2 linked regions of the Daphnia pulex genome follow. The protein of the gene in region 1 interacts with the protein of each later gene in a pairwise test. Links are inferred from orthologs where the notes say so. Each region holds a gene or a part of one and is shown on either strand. Other genes may lie near its edges.

Region 1 (6,576 bases):
CACCACCATTTACCTTATCCGGTTTCTCACTCCCCTAGCCACCCTCTTCCTCTATCGGCAATATCGGCACACGGGGAGAGATTTCCAAAGCAGAAGCGACAAGGGCGTAGACACTCAATGGTTGACAGCCGATAGGCCTACCGCTTATAGATGTAGCTATACACCTACATACCTCCGCGAAAAGTATGGCTTGTGCACACCTACAACATATCATGTATAGTTGAGGAGCACAACCCTATGTCAAATCGGTCGTGCCACATTTCAATTTTTAGTGGGTAATAGACTGTACCGATGCTAATCTCATAATCAAATGCTAAGTAATACGCCCATCGTGATTACAAAGGGTTTAGAACATCCTATATATTTGGTCCTGTTTGACGATTGAGAATAGTATTCATCAAAAATAGTGATTTTAAAGAATAGAATTTCAAACACTACGAGTTGCATCATTACAAATTAATTTAGCAATAGATTTCAGTTTGGGAAATAATCATTTTTGATACTTACTGCAGTATCCAAATTAAACAATTAATCTGGGTTTATTGAAATGCTTTTTTTTTAATTGAATCAGTAATAACTCGACGATTTCGCCATCTAGGGTGCAATATTCGAGTCATTTTTTATGTACTATGTTAAACGGTTTAATGGATAGCGGCCGATGACGCGCAGCGCAGATGGGTTGCTCATGTGTAAAATAATATCTAACCAATCGCAACGTTGTTAAACTGCCAAAAAAATTTCGAATTGAATATGATACGTACCCTAGAAGTCGTTGCTTGAGTGTTAACTGCTCTATCATAAAAAAACAGAACTGATAAATGATAATCAGCAAAAAGCCAAATTTAATATTGATGATTCCTGTTAAAAAAAAATCTTTATCGGGATTAGTCTAATCGTGATCCCCACATTTCTACTGCCGCTGGTGTCTAACGTTTATTTTTTAGAAAAGAACTAGGCAACTAGCGTTCTGTAAACTCTATGGAGTAGCTTATTTCGTTACAGCCAACGACAACATTGCATTTGATATAGATTTACATCTCTAAATTTGCACAGACCGCGAAATTTGATTTTAAAAAGAGATCCGCCTAAAATCGACTATTCGATTTATTTCTATATGGTTAATTCAGAATTTTAGCTCAATTCTACCATTTTGGTAAATCCGATTTTTTTTTAGTTAAGTAAAAGTGTAGATAATAGATTGTCAGTCAATTCATCTCTTTTAAACGTGTACAGACATATACAGGTAATCTGTGAGTAATACAATACATATTCAGAATCACTTTGACAGCTGAAACCAACAACGCCGGACAGGAAAGATTTACTTGAAGTAAGGCTAAGCGATAAACTAAGGCGATAGTGTTTTCTCTGTTGATTCTTTTCTGCAGCAAAGTAGCTTGACGTGTCAAGGAAAACAAGCTTTAGACGGATCTTTTCAACCTAAAAGGTTCTTCTCGTGTATTATAGTTATCTGCTTTCAAAATCTAAAACAACTTGTGATCACGGTTCAACCACTTCCAGTTGTCTGACACAAAAAGTTCAAGGAAACAAAATAAACATTTAGAAGCGATTACTAAGTCAAATTGATACACCATAAGATTATTTACCGCCCCAAATTATTCCATTCATTAACAGAAATACTACATTGTATTATTGCGGCCAATTAATGCTGATACAATTTTTTTCAAAACAGCGTTCAGTGCGTTCACCCCCTTCAAGCCAAGGCAAAAAATTTATATTTGAGATTGTAGGGAACTGATTTTTTCCTAATTTCATTGAATCTTTTATGGCAAGTTTTAGTGACAGGAAGTAGCAATCTCAACAAATATTTTTTTGCTAAATTTCAGTTTGCTAAACATTTTTGTTTTCTTTTTTAAATATGCCATCTTTAAATCTTGAATTATATTTAACTCAGGCTTTAAACGATACATTTACATTTTTGATCAGCTCGATTGTTTTATTACTTGATAGCGAGTTGCTATAAGAAATGTATTCCAATAGAAGAAATAGAATTACAAAGAACTATTGGAACGAATTCATGATGGTACAGCTAAGATCTAACAACTGAAGTTGTTCATCAGCTCCTTCCGCCAAACGGTGATCACAAATCTAATCAATAGAAAATACGATTGAAAAAATTGAGTTAAACTAAACGCGACAAGCCTATAGAAATTAGCACCGGTAATCGTAACAAAAACTTTTGAATGAACTTTATACCGCCAGCTTTTCGCATATCACGTTCTTCTGCTTGGATGAAAGTTCTGTGGAAAAGACGATTCGTTCATGCAGTTGGTTAAGAAGCTGGGAAACCGAAAATCCCTCAGCCGAAAAATTGTTGATAAATGACTGCATTGCATCATATGATCCGGAAGTACATTTTTCAAGCAGGCCTTCAATCCAACAACTTGGCACTCTCTTCAATAAAAACATAAAATATTCTTTAAATGAGATGGTTAGTAAAATATGATTTTAGTACAACTAGTAATTCGAACGATTTATATAGTTTTTTGGCATAAAAAGGCGCATAAAAACCTATATTATAGTATACAAGGAATTTGAACATCCATCGAAACACAATAATCAACGTATAACTCCGATAGGAAATAATACTTCCATCTACTACGTTTCCAACTTCACAAAGTAATAAATAAAACAATTATTTAAAAAACTTACCCCTGTAATTTCATAGATGTCTTCAATGGTAGGGCATGCTTCAGAATTCAAATTGGCGATAGATTGAAGAAAAGTAATCGCCCTTCGAAGATCCCCTTCGGATGCTAACAAAAAATGAACCAGATATGTTAACCGATAAAAATGTATAGTGGAAGGATATATGTGTGTATGTACCTTCGATTAAACTTTCCAAAACTTCTTCTGAGCATGACATATTTTCAGCAATACATATATGTTCTAGTCTTTTGACCAAAATTTCGCGAGCTGATTTTTCAATAAATCCAACTTTTACATGTTTACACTAGTCACAACATTTAACAAATATCTTACGGAGTGGTTTAAATCTAAACTTGGAGCATCTTGACGTTAAGGGCTCTATGATGCGGCTTACGTAGTTACAAATCAGGCAAAACCGAGTCGATTTCGTCTCCTAGAGAAATTATCACGTTTATGGGAAACCTTAAATATAAATTGCTGTAGAATTTATTTTGAAATATTACCTTCTCCATGGTTCGGCGGAGAGCCGCTTGTGCAGCACCTATCAGAGTTAAACAATGTCAATTTGAATTTTTATATGCCAATAATTCCTAGATACTAAATGAAATGCTATCATGGAAAATGGTAAATTTAGTTATTGGCTACACAATTAAACACTATAATAATTTGTAAAAAAGTTTTTTTTTAACCACCTGTCATAGAATCTGCTTCATCCAAAATCACAATTTTGAAAGGAGGGCATTGTTTTCCACTGTACAAATATAATTAGTTAAATACAACAAAATATAGTGTGCTACGATTTCTTAAAAAAAAAGGTTTCAAAACTTACTCAGGTCTAACTGAGCTAACAGTTCTTTGAGAGAAAATCTTGACTTTTTCTCTTACAACTTGGATACCTCGTTCATCTGATGCATTCAATTCCAAAACCCTAGATCAAAAACATTAGCTTGTGCAATAAGATCTCTTCTGTGAAACAAAACATTACATAGGTTGGAAGAAAAACAATTTACCTATCCTTGTAAATATCACCAAAAAGATCTCGGGCAGCTGCTAAAATGGTGCTGGTTTTACCAGTACCAGGTGGACCATAGAAAAGCAGATTTGGAAGGTCAGCTCCTTGGAGTGATTTTTGAAGTACTGCAACTACTTCTTCCTGATATGAAACTTCATCAATCGTTCGAGGACGGCTGGAGTATGACAAATGATTAAAAAACTGTTTCACATATTATAAAATAAAATTCAAGTTTGTTTACTATTTCTCGACCCAAGGTATTAAAGAATGCTTTTTTTCTTCAACATTTCCAGGAAGTAATGGCACTCCACTTCCCTTAGACTGATTAGAGAGCTTTCCAGTTTTTAAAAATGAATCCATTTAAGCAATTCTTGTCATTAACAGACTACGAAAAATTTGAAGTAGAGACTGCGATCTTTTTATCTCGCGCACCAGAGATGCTTTAGCTTGTCGCTAGGGGCAGGTCGAACGATTTTGAAAAAAAGCAGCTCTATTAATTTTGTATGTCTATGATAGCTCTCCCCGATATTCCGGTAATTATTATTTGTAATCTATTATTATATAACGGAATTCGATGGTTTGATAAATAAATGTTACCCCCCATTTCCTCTACATTTCTTTGCTGGTTCTTGACTTCTTGTTGTGGCTTGTAGGTATTGTGCAATGCTGTGTTGTTGTTGTTCCACTTCGCGGGTCTTTAACTCATACAGCGTTGAATGATTACTATTACTGCTATTACTAGAATGCGCGTGCGCCTTGCGCGGACACTAAAATGCGCGGAATTTGTCTTGCGCGGAAAAAACTAAAATCAGAGCTATAGATGTTATACCATAGACAAAGACCACTGGTTGAAGCTCTTCATAAGAAAATTAACATGGCCAACTGTCGCCAGAATTCTTGCTACCCTTCCTCCGATTTCTCCAACCCCGTATTACTTGTCCTGCCCTCTAGTGTACGTTTTCATCTCTACACTCTGCTTACTTCTATTCAATTGCAATGATTAATTGATTTCTCTGCTTTTGTAATTAGCTAATGTCAAAATTTAATACAATTTGACTTCTTAATAAAAATTTTTAAGGCAAAATTACCTAAAACTATTAAACGCCAGCAAAGAATTTTACCAAGACAGAAGGAAAACAATCTTCGTCTGCAAAACCCTTCGTAGCCTCGGTGCAGTACAGTACTTTGTCCGCTAGAGGCACTACAATCGATACGGGAGCTCGGGGTCAGTAGGGATAGGGCTAAAAGGATAGCACAGCATCAACCAGTGGTCTTTGTCTATGGTTATACCAATGAAAAAGTAGTAGATGCCAAAAAATCGTGCGCAGTTTACGCCGATGCGCACCACAGCGGCAGATAGCATAACTAAACTTTTTATTACGCTTGACACTTAGCGTACTTCAAGAGACGAGACGAGAACCGACTGCTTGTCGAACAAAGGATCTTGAAGTACGCTAAGTCCAAGCGTAATAAAAAGTTTAGTTATGCTATCTGCCGCTGTGGTGCGCATCGGCGTAAACTGCGCACGATTTTTTGGCATGTCATACTACTTTTTCATTGGTATAACATCTATAGACTCCTGGTCGCTTTACGGCTGTGTTGGCTTCTCTATCCCGGTTTCAGGGTAACAGTAAGCCGATTTTCAGAGATTTTAGGGCGGAGCCTGTCAGAATTTGTGAAGTGGAAACGTTAAAAAGAGCCATCTAGGCTCTCAAAAGTAGCTGAGCGTAGTAGCTGACACACTCACTTGAAGTTTCCAAATCGGCTTACGTTTACCCTGAAACCGGGATAGGGAAGAAGCCAACTCAGCCGTGAAGCGACCAGGAGTCTAGCTCTGCTAAAATGCGCGTTTAAAAAAAAAAAGAAACGTACTAGTTTGCGCGCATCGCAGGGAGAAAATGCGTGCCTAAACACTAAAATGCGCGCTGGCCGAAGGGAATATGCGCGCACCCATACTGTGATACTGAAATGCGCGCAAGATCCAAACTTGTACATTTTAAACCTGCGCACACTTTAAACTGCCTCCGCCAACACTGATGCGCGCAATCAAACAGGAAATTGCACATATTAAACGTGCGCGCAGCCAACACTGATACGTGTAAATTAGGGTACTTTAAAGGGTTATAACTAAGGCTGTAACCCGGAGCTAAATGGGCGGTTTTTTTTTTAGATAGGTTTCCTAGATTTTTTTTTTAACACGGGTTTGATCGGGATGGGCCAAAAGCGAAAAATGACCCGACCCGGGTCATCCCACGGGACACAACAAACTTACCGGCCCGGGTCACGCCCAGGGTAAAAATCGGGTCAAACACACATTTTTTAAGTTTATCAATGGACGTTTACAAATTATATTTATATACATAGTCAAACGTACATTGATAAAAGAAACTTGAAAATGTTACTGAAGTTTAAATGTAGTAGTTAACTTTCATCTCATTGAACAAACTTGAAAAAATTCCATAAATTTCTTAATAATCTTCTTTTTCTAGCAATGGCACGTCAATACTGTCTTCTTCACACTCCTGGATGCCCTTATCTACCACTTATTCTACTTTTCACTACGGAATTCTCGTAGAGCATTTGACGGCAACATTTTTAGGTCTTTCTTGAGGCCGCAGGCATATTGCATAACGAGCTTCTCTGTTCTCTATGTGAATACTAGACAACCGCTCGGGTTGGCGGTAGACAACACTACCGCTCGGGTTGGCCCGCGGACTCAGCGATACGCCCCGGCGCCCGTCCCGTAAAAAAAAATACATCGGTGGGTTCATGTTTCCTGGTTAATTTTTTTCATGGCCCGGGTTACAGCCCTAGTTATAACTATAGAACGGGTTAAGCTAGAACGTTGCGGAAAACTTTGATATGAAGAGCTTCGCAAGCTCTATAAAACCGTTGAT
Region 2 (6,473 bases), on another chromosome or scaffold:
CTAAACAATCAAACCAAGTTTTCACAAAGTCAATTCCATGTTTTCCTTAGTGTCCTTAGTCTTTTATTATTTCAAGAAATGTCCATAACCGACCGCTAATAAACGGCGTGACCACAATTATGGTTATATATTATACATATCCCGCATTATATGATGAAATCATATTTAAGATCAGTTAAGCAAAAATCTAAATGTTTTTTAGAAATATAATGTTGACCCCTTCGGCATACTCCATTGGGTTTTCTTGTGTACGTTAACGGTAAATATCATTCATGCATGCACATATTCTTTGTTTAATCCATTGATATGAGTGATTGGACTTCTCCGCTGTTCTCTGCCATTTCCTTAGCTTCCTCTGCGACGTTGTATTCTTCCGGTTCATCGTCATCCTGCGACTGCGGAATCGAATATTCATTATGTGTTATTTACCTTTATCTTTTTGTATACTGCGCACATACCTGAAATTGGCCGCCGACAGATTCGTAAGTGAATGCACCTTTGGCTAGGTCTACTTCGATCGGGAAGAAACGCTGCCCGTCCAGCAGCTGATGGCACTGGTCGTAAAAGGTTGTCAAATGACTCAAAAGCCTCTGGAGCTGCTGCACGACATCCTGTACGTGCTTGTTGTCAAGTAACTCGATTTTGACCTGATGGATGGGTTCATCTTGTTATTCACTTTAATAAATTACTGCTGTGTGTTATAAAACAGCGTGGCTTTCACTATTATACCTGAACGTCGGACCGTAGAGCGGCAAATCGCGCCCTGGCGTCTTGGCGGCATCGAAGAACCAATCTGCGTCATGTGGGCCAACCAATAAATTAACATTTGAATTCTATACGCGGGATTTGAGATGTATCGATTACCGGTATTCGTAATTTCCCGTTTCAATCCTGTAGGAAGGCTCTTGTAGCGTGTGGTAGCTCTGCTCTTCGTCGTCCATTTCTTTGACCTGATTCATCGCCAAGTTCATTAAATTCGGGATCAATAGTCAGACATCCCATGTTATACATACCTTCAAACAATAGGAGAGATATTCAAACTTTGCGTCAGCATAGCGACCGATGGTCATCCGCGTATCTGGGATGGCTTTGTGGAGAAAAGTCCCTAAATCCGCCAGCACCTGATTTAAACATGTATGGATTGATTCAGTTAGATATGAACGGACAAAAGTTTCGCTGCTGCAGATGCTGTGGAGGGGCAGCAAGCACATCAGACAAAAGTTTTGTATCGAAGCCGGAGGCTTTTTGCTGGAAAACTCGCTCGGCGCCGGATGTTATATTAAGTATACCGGCTTGAGTTGTTTAATCATTTGGACGCCGTAGCGTTCCATTTGCCGATGGATCTCGCCAAACTTTGTGAAAACTTCGCTGGCTCGAGGCTGCAACTCGCGAACGCCGATGGTTGAAAAGATGTTGCCAAAGTCTAAGAAGACACACGACAAGAACATTCGTTTCATGAAAATTTAAGTCTCTTCTTGGACTAAGAAAAAAGTTCACTCCACTTTCAATCTTATTTCGAGTCCATTATAAAATATATACCTTTGTAAGTTTGGGAGAGGTCGTAGTAGGAGCGTAGGAGTCGCCTGGTGTGCTATATAACGAACCCAATTTTGAAAAATAATGACATCCGTGACGTGTTTGTGGAAGGAAGAACATCAACAACAACGTGACGTGAACAAGCAAATAATGATAGAATAAGACGAAGAAGGTACACGCAATATACCTCGACTAAGCCTCGGTACATTCCCTCGCAACGCTTGAGATCTTCTAGACGCTTCAACAAGCTGTCGTTGCACAAGATAGCCCTCGAAAGTCCCAGAGCGTCGGCCGTCGAGCTGGACATGTTTTCGACGAAGCGGTGCTTGACTTTCTTCAGGATCAAATCCAACGTCTTGCCCTGGGCGGGCTCTGCGTGAAGTTTGTTGTACCGGATCGTGACTGAACTACAATTTTAAAAATACCACGAAATTGAAATTCAAATTTGTTGGTTCCTTCCAAAGTACGTATATATAGTTACGCGCGGAGGAAATCTGATTATTATGATTACCTTTGGGCGGCTTGAATCATTTTAGCCACTTCGGATTTGGTTTTGCCTTTGACCGAGACGTTGTCCACTCCAATTATTTCGTCGCCACTTTGAAGTGTACCGTCTTTCGCGGCTGCAGTGTTGTCAAATATCTAAATTTACCCAACATACGAATTTTAAAAATTCCATCCGCACCGCGCCGGAAGCGCCGGATAGATTTCGGTTAATAAACCTGGACAATGTAGAGGCAAGGGCAATAAGGTGCACCTCCTCCGATGCTGATTCCAATCAAATTTGATCCGTCCTTTTCCAGAACGATGGAACCCGTCGTAATCGTCATTCCCCTGTTATACGTGATGCAAACATTCATTTTTAATTCATTTCAACGATGCGAAATGGCAGATAAATAAGTTATCGACTTGCCAGTCGATAATTTCTCAAAGCCACGTAACATCAATCATACACAATTTCAAAAGCAGAAGCAGAAGCCAGCTCAGCCAATAGAGCCCCGAAATGTAACATACATAGTAGCCTAATAATATGCACAGAGCTACTATATAGCCAATCGATCGTGAGAGCGTGATAAAAGCGTTAGAGTACACGTCAAAGACCGCAGAAAGGGCGGCCGAAATAACGAGGTCGAAAGAGTACACGACGTTGAATTAGAGACTACATGATTATACATACATCTAAAGAGCCCAAAAGTTGGAAAATGGAATAACTATTTGATGATGGGCTTTACCAGCAGCAAAACGAGCTGCTATACAGATGGCAAATAATATCGATCCTCTCTCTATTTATAGCGCACACCATTAAACTGCTGCACGCACTGCGAGGCGTATTATATATAGTCGACGACGATTCTACATTTTGCAGATTGTACAGGCGCGCACTCGGGTCGTCGACTTACTCTCGATTCTCTGGCCAGAAAAATCCACGTAGTTCGTCCTCAATGTCTTCGACCTCAAGAAGAATCATGCTAGAGGACGATTCAAGCTCGTCGGAATTAACAACGGCCGGGACAATGTCGTCGTCGTTATTAGCTGCCGCTGCTGGGCTACCATCGCAGTCGTCACGAGAGCTCTGGATATTATGACGTTCATCTGATGGACTTGTTATTGATAGGTCGTCGTCCCAGCTAACTTTATTACTACTGGCCATATCCATCATTGCCGGCGGTCCAGGTGATTTGTTGGTCGGTCACGTTTTCCCAGGTGGTCACGCACAGTTAGTTCGTGTATATCGATTTTCGTGATTTTGGTAGAAATAAGAATAGAAATATAACGTCGTTATTATCGGAGAAACAATGTCCGTTTCTGTTCGTGTGTATGGGATTATCTACTGGGATTTTTGAGCTATATAGATTATATAATATCGAACTGGTTTTATGGTTGTCTCTATCTACGTCGATGGTTTTTACCCGGTTCCGCTGTGAAAAGTCGTTTCGGGACTTTTGGATTGGAGCGCGCAAATAGAGCGAGTGAAGGCGAGTGCGTAATATTGAAGGAAATAAGGAAATAAAAAATTTAAAAAAACACATCAATCATAAAATTCATCAAGCCGTGAAAGAAAAAAAAAAGAATGCGCCGTGAGTTTTTAAAGCAAATAAAAATAAGTAACAAAAAAAAAACAAAATCAAACGAAAATTACATGGAATCTTCTTTCATGGGCAACTGGGCGGCGTAATACGGCCACATTTTGCTCTTTTCGCTGATGTGCGCGCGCGCAGCCAAATTGACTCAACGGAAATCCAACGGCCAAAAATGAAAATACAACACAGAGCGATGAAGAATGAACTGAACTGAACTGAACAAAAGGGCAGCACACAACAACACCACCGAGTTATTATTATTTTTTTCTTTTCTCTCAACACTCTTGACTATTATTCTGCCCGCAGCCAAAATAATTACACGACCAAAAGTGTTGTCAAGTGACACTTGTAGTAACTGAAATCGATGGTAAACATTTGGGGTTTTTGGGAGAACTCGAGTCGAATCGACCAGTCGGTTAACGAGTTCTTTTCATGCGACGACGTCACACACGCAATCAAACGGGAAAAAAAACCGGAAAACGTGAACGCACCGAACAAAAATAAAAATGAATGCGGAATGGATTGAGCTATAGCTACAAAAGGGAACGAATCAACTTACATCTTGTCCTCTTCGAAAAAAAAGTCTGGCTCGTAATCGGACAACATTTTGGGTGATTGTTGTTTCAGCACAGAGACGATAGAGAGAGAGAGATGCGGTTGTTTGTCAAATGACGTTACGACACATGCAGACAGCAGCAGCAGGAGAGATGCCCGGTGCTGGTCGCCACAGTTGCCACAGCTGTTTTGTGTACACCCGTATAGAAATTGTCGTCTACTCACTTACAACGGCTGGGGCCAGCACCACCAGGCTTCTCCTTCCCGTCTCGATAAGCCCAGGAAAACGGTCCCCTTATCGATCGTGTCGACTCGCTTCAAAAATCCGGCAACGCCGGACGAGCTCTGCTGGGAGTTGCGTGAAGACTGGCGGATGCGCACCCTGCGCGTCGACTCTTCTGGTTTCCCCCCTCTCTCTCATTCTCCTTGTGTCATTCAGTCGCCCCTTCAATAATGTATTATATACGCCACCCTCTTTTTTTGTCCGCTCTCCGCATTCGGCCCAGCTGAGGAAGTTATCGATTCGTCCAGCGGGAACTCTTCGGGTAGATCGTTCAAACTCTTCTGATACATAAATGAGCAGGGCTGAGTGGTTCCTCTGAACTCTTCAACACCATCCGGCAGCACCGGAATACGGCACCCAAAATAATAATGTTGCTGGATACATCCTCATCAACAGCGCAGCCCTCCACTTTGATTGGTTATATGCTGCCGCTGCGCCGTTGTTTTAATCATTTCGATACGACCGGAATTCATTGGTCGATTCAAATAACCAAACAGGAATCAATCTCGGCTGCTGCTGAATAATCAAAAGCGGCGTCGAGCTAATTGACGAGAGTGGCAACTAATCGATGATATAGAAACGCCCGCTGACGTCAACCTTTGGCAACGGGCGAACTGATTACCCCTTTTCTAGGCCCTTTTATACACACACCGGGCCAAGTCGGCAGCCAGTAGCAGCCCATAATGGTGGAACATCTCCAGTTGTGTGTACATAGTGAAGAAGAAGAGTACAAAGAGATTCATCATCATCGATCGGATGGTGGTGGGGGGGGGGGGGGCTATTTTCATAATAGAAAAGCGAACGAACGAGACGTTTCTTGTCGTCTTTTGCCAACTTTTTTTTTTATTTATTTCCGGCTAGCGGATGAAGATGAAAAGCGCCCAGCAGTCACTTGCTCGGCGCTGTTTTGTATATATAACTACTGGGCTGCTCTATGTATACATTTGATGTAGGCAAATGAAGAAAGTTTCTAGCCGCTATATAGACTCTCGGCGAGTTGATGAATAACGCCACTCAAGAAACTCGCGGGTGTAATGGGAAAAATATGAAAAGAAAGTTGGGCCGTCGTCGTGACGAGTCTAGTAGTACACACGTCACGATTTTTTTTCCCAGCAGCAGGCTACATAAGGGGAGCAGAGTTGTTGGCTAGATAGATTTTGATGATGTTGGATGCATTCAAAGTCATGTGCCAGCGCACGCCGTGTACACATCTATTACGTGGAGTGAAATAATGTAATACACTTATAGCCGTTGTCTTATGAACGGAAAGAGTCGATTCATGTGTATGGACTGGCACGGCTGAATAATGAAGAGATGACGAACCAATAACCCGAGAGAGAGCCGATGACGGCAGACTGGTTAAACAAGTTGAATAACAATGAAGACGTCAAACGAAAGTGTGAGGGCGGCGGATATGCGCTTTACTTTGGGGCTTTGGGCACGTAGCAACATCACATTTATAGTACCTATAGTAGTCTCAGTAATGATGAGTATAACATGGGTTAGATATGTCTCGAATATTGTTTTCGTGTGGGTTGGAAAAAAAAGGGGGTTCCGCTTTTTTGGCTTGTCCAGTAGTGCGCCGGCGTTGTCTATAAAAGATCTTGTGCCATGCCTATAGAGCGTCGATTCCCTCTCAACCCAATATAGTATATAGTGTGTATGTGTGTGTCTGGCCTTTTGGGTGGGGGGGCAAAAGTAACGTAAAGGGAGTGGTAGGGTGGTAGATCATCGATCCAAAAGTCTAGCAGAGATGCAGGGCCGACCCCCGACCCCGTTGTTTTGCCGAGAATAAGCCAACGCCCAACAGGGGGGGGGAACGACGACGACGACTTGATTCCGGCGGTGGTGCCGCTCTGCGCCGTTTGATTTTCTTCGATATTTCTCAATCTTCTTCTTCTTCTTCTTCTCTTTTTTGTCATTGTCATTTTTCATGGGGCTACCGTGTCAAACGCAAAGCAGAGCGGCTGCTCGGCGAGATGCCCGCGCAGCAACAGCCGGACCTGGGCGCGTCGGTC

The links. The genes of interacting proteins can lie anywhere in the genome.
Region 2: the proteins of replication factor C subunit 4-like (region 1) and PRKCA-binding protein-like interact in a two-hybrid assay, tested with the Caenorhabditis elegans proteins (3 studies listed by BioGRID). The link is inferred for Daphnia pulex from reciprocal best matches to the Caenorhabditis elegans genes rfc-4 and Y57G11C.22.

The regions. Positions count from the first base shown.
Region 1 is NC_060027.1:6,481,259-6,487,834, forward strand, and holds replication factor C subunit 4-like, read right to left. Parts: upstream 4,130-6,576; 5' UTR 4,040-4,129; coding exon 3,921-4,039; intron 3,855-3,920; coding exon 3,678-3,854; intron 3,596-3,677; coding exon 3,497-3,595; intron 3,419-3,496; coding exon 3,360-3,418; intron 3,209-3,359; coding exon 3,171-3,208; intron 3,101-3,170; coding exon 3,001-3,100; intron 2,935-3,000; coding exon 2,845-2,934; intron 2,775-2,844; coding exon 2,671-2,774; intron 2,413-2,670; coding exon 2,215-2,412; intron 2,107-2,214; coding exon 2,020-2,106; 3' UTR 1,953-2,019; downstream 1-1,952. UniProt on the Caenorhabditis elegans protein: The elongation of primed DNA templates by DNA polymerase delta and epsilon requires the action of the accessory proteins PCNA and activator 1. This subunit may be involved in the elongation of the multiprimed DNA template.
Region 2 is NC_060018.1:683,951-690,423, reverse strand, and holds PRKCA-binding protein-like, read right to left. Parts: upstream 4,471-6,473; 5' UTR 4,224-4,470; coding exon 4,177-4,223; exon of another isoform or gene 3,737-4,176; coding exon 3,677-3,736; intron 3,477-3,676; coding exon 3,447-3,476; intron 3,177-3,446; coding exon 2,937-3,176; intron 2,371-2,936; coding exon 2,259-2,370; intron 2,179-2,258; coding exon 2,048-2,178; intron 1,944-2,047; coding exon 1,724-1,943; intron 1,592-1,723; coding exon 1,540-1,591; intron 1,424-1,539; coding exon 1,290-1,423; intron 1,122-1,289; coding exon 1,014-1,121; intron 951-1,013; coding exon 865-950; intron 794-864; coding exon 730-793; intron 648-729; coding exon 459-647; intron 396-458; coding exon 294-395; 3' UTR 53-293; downstream 1-52.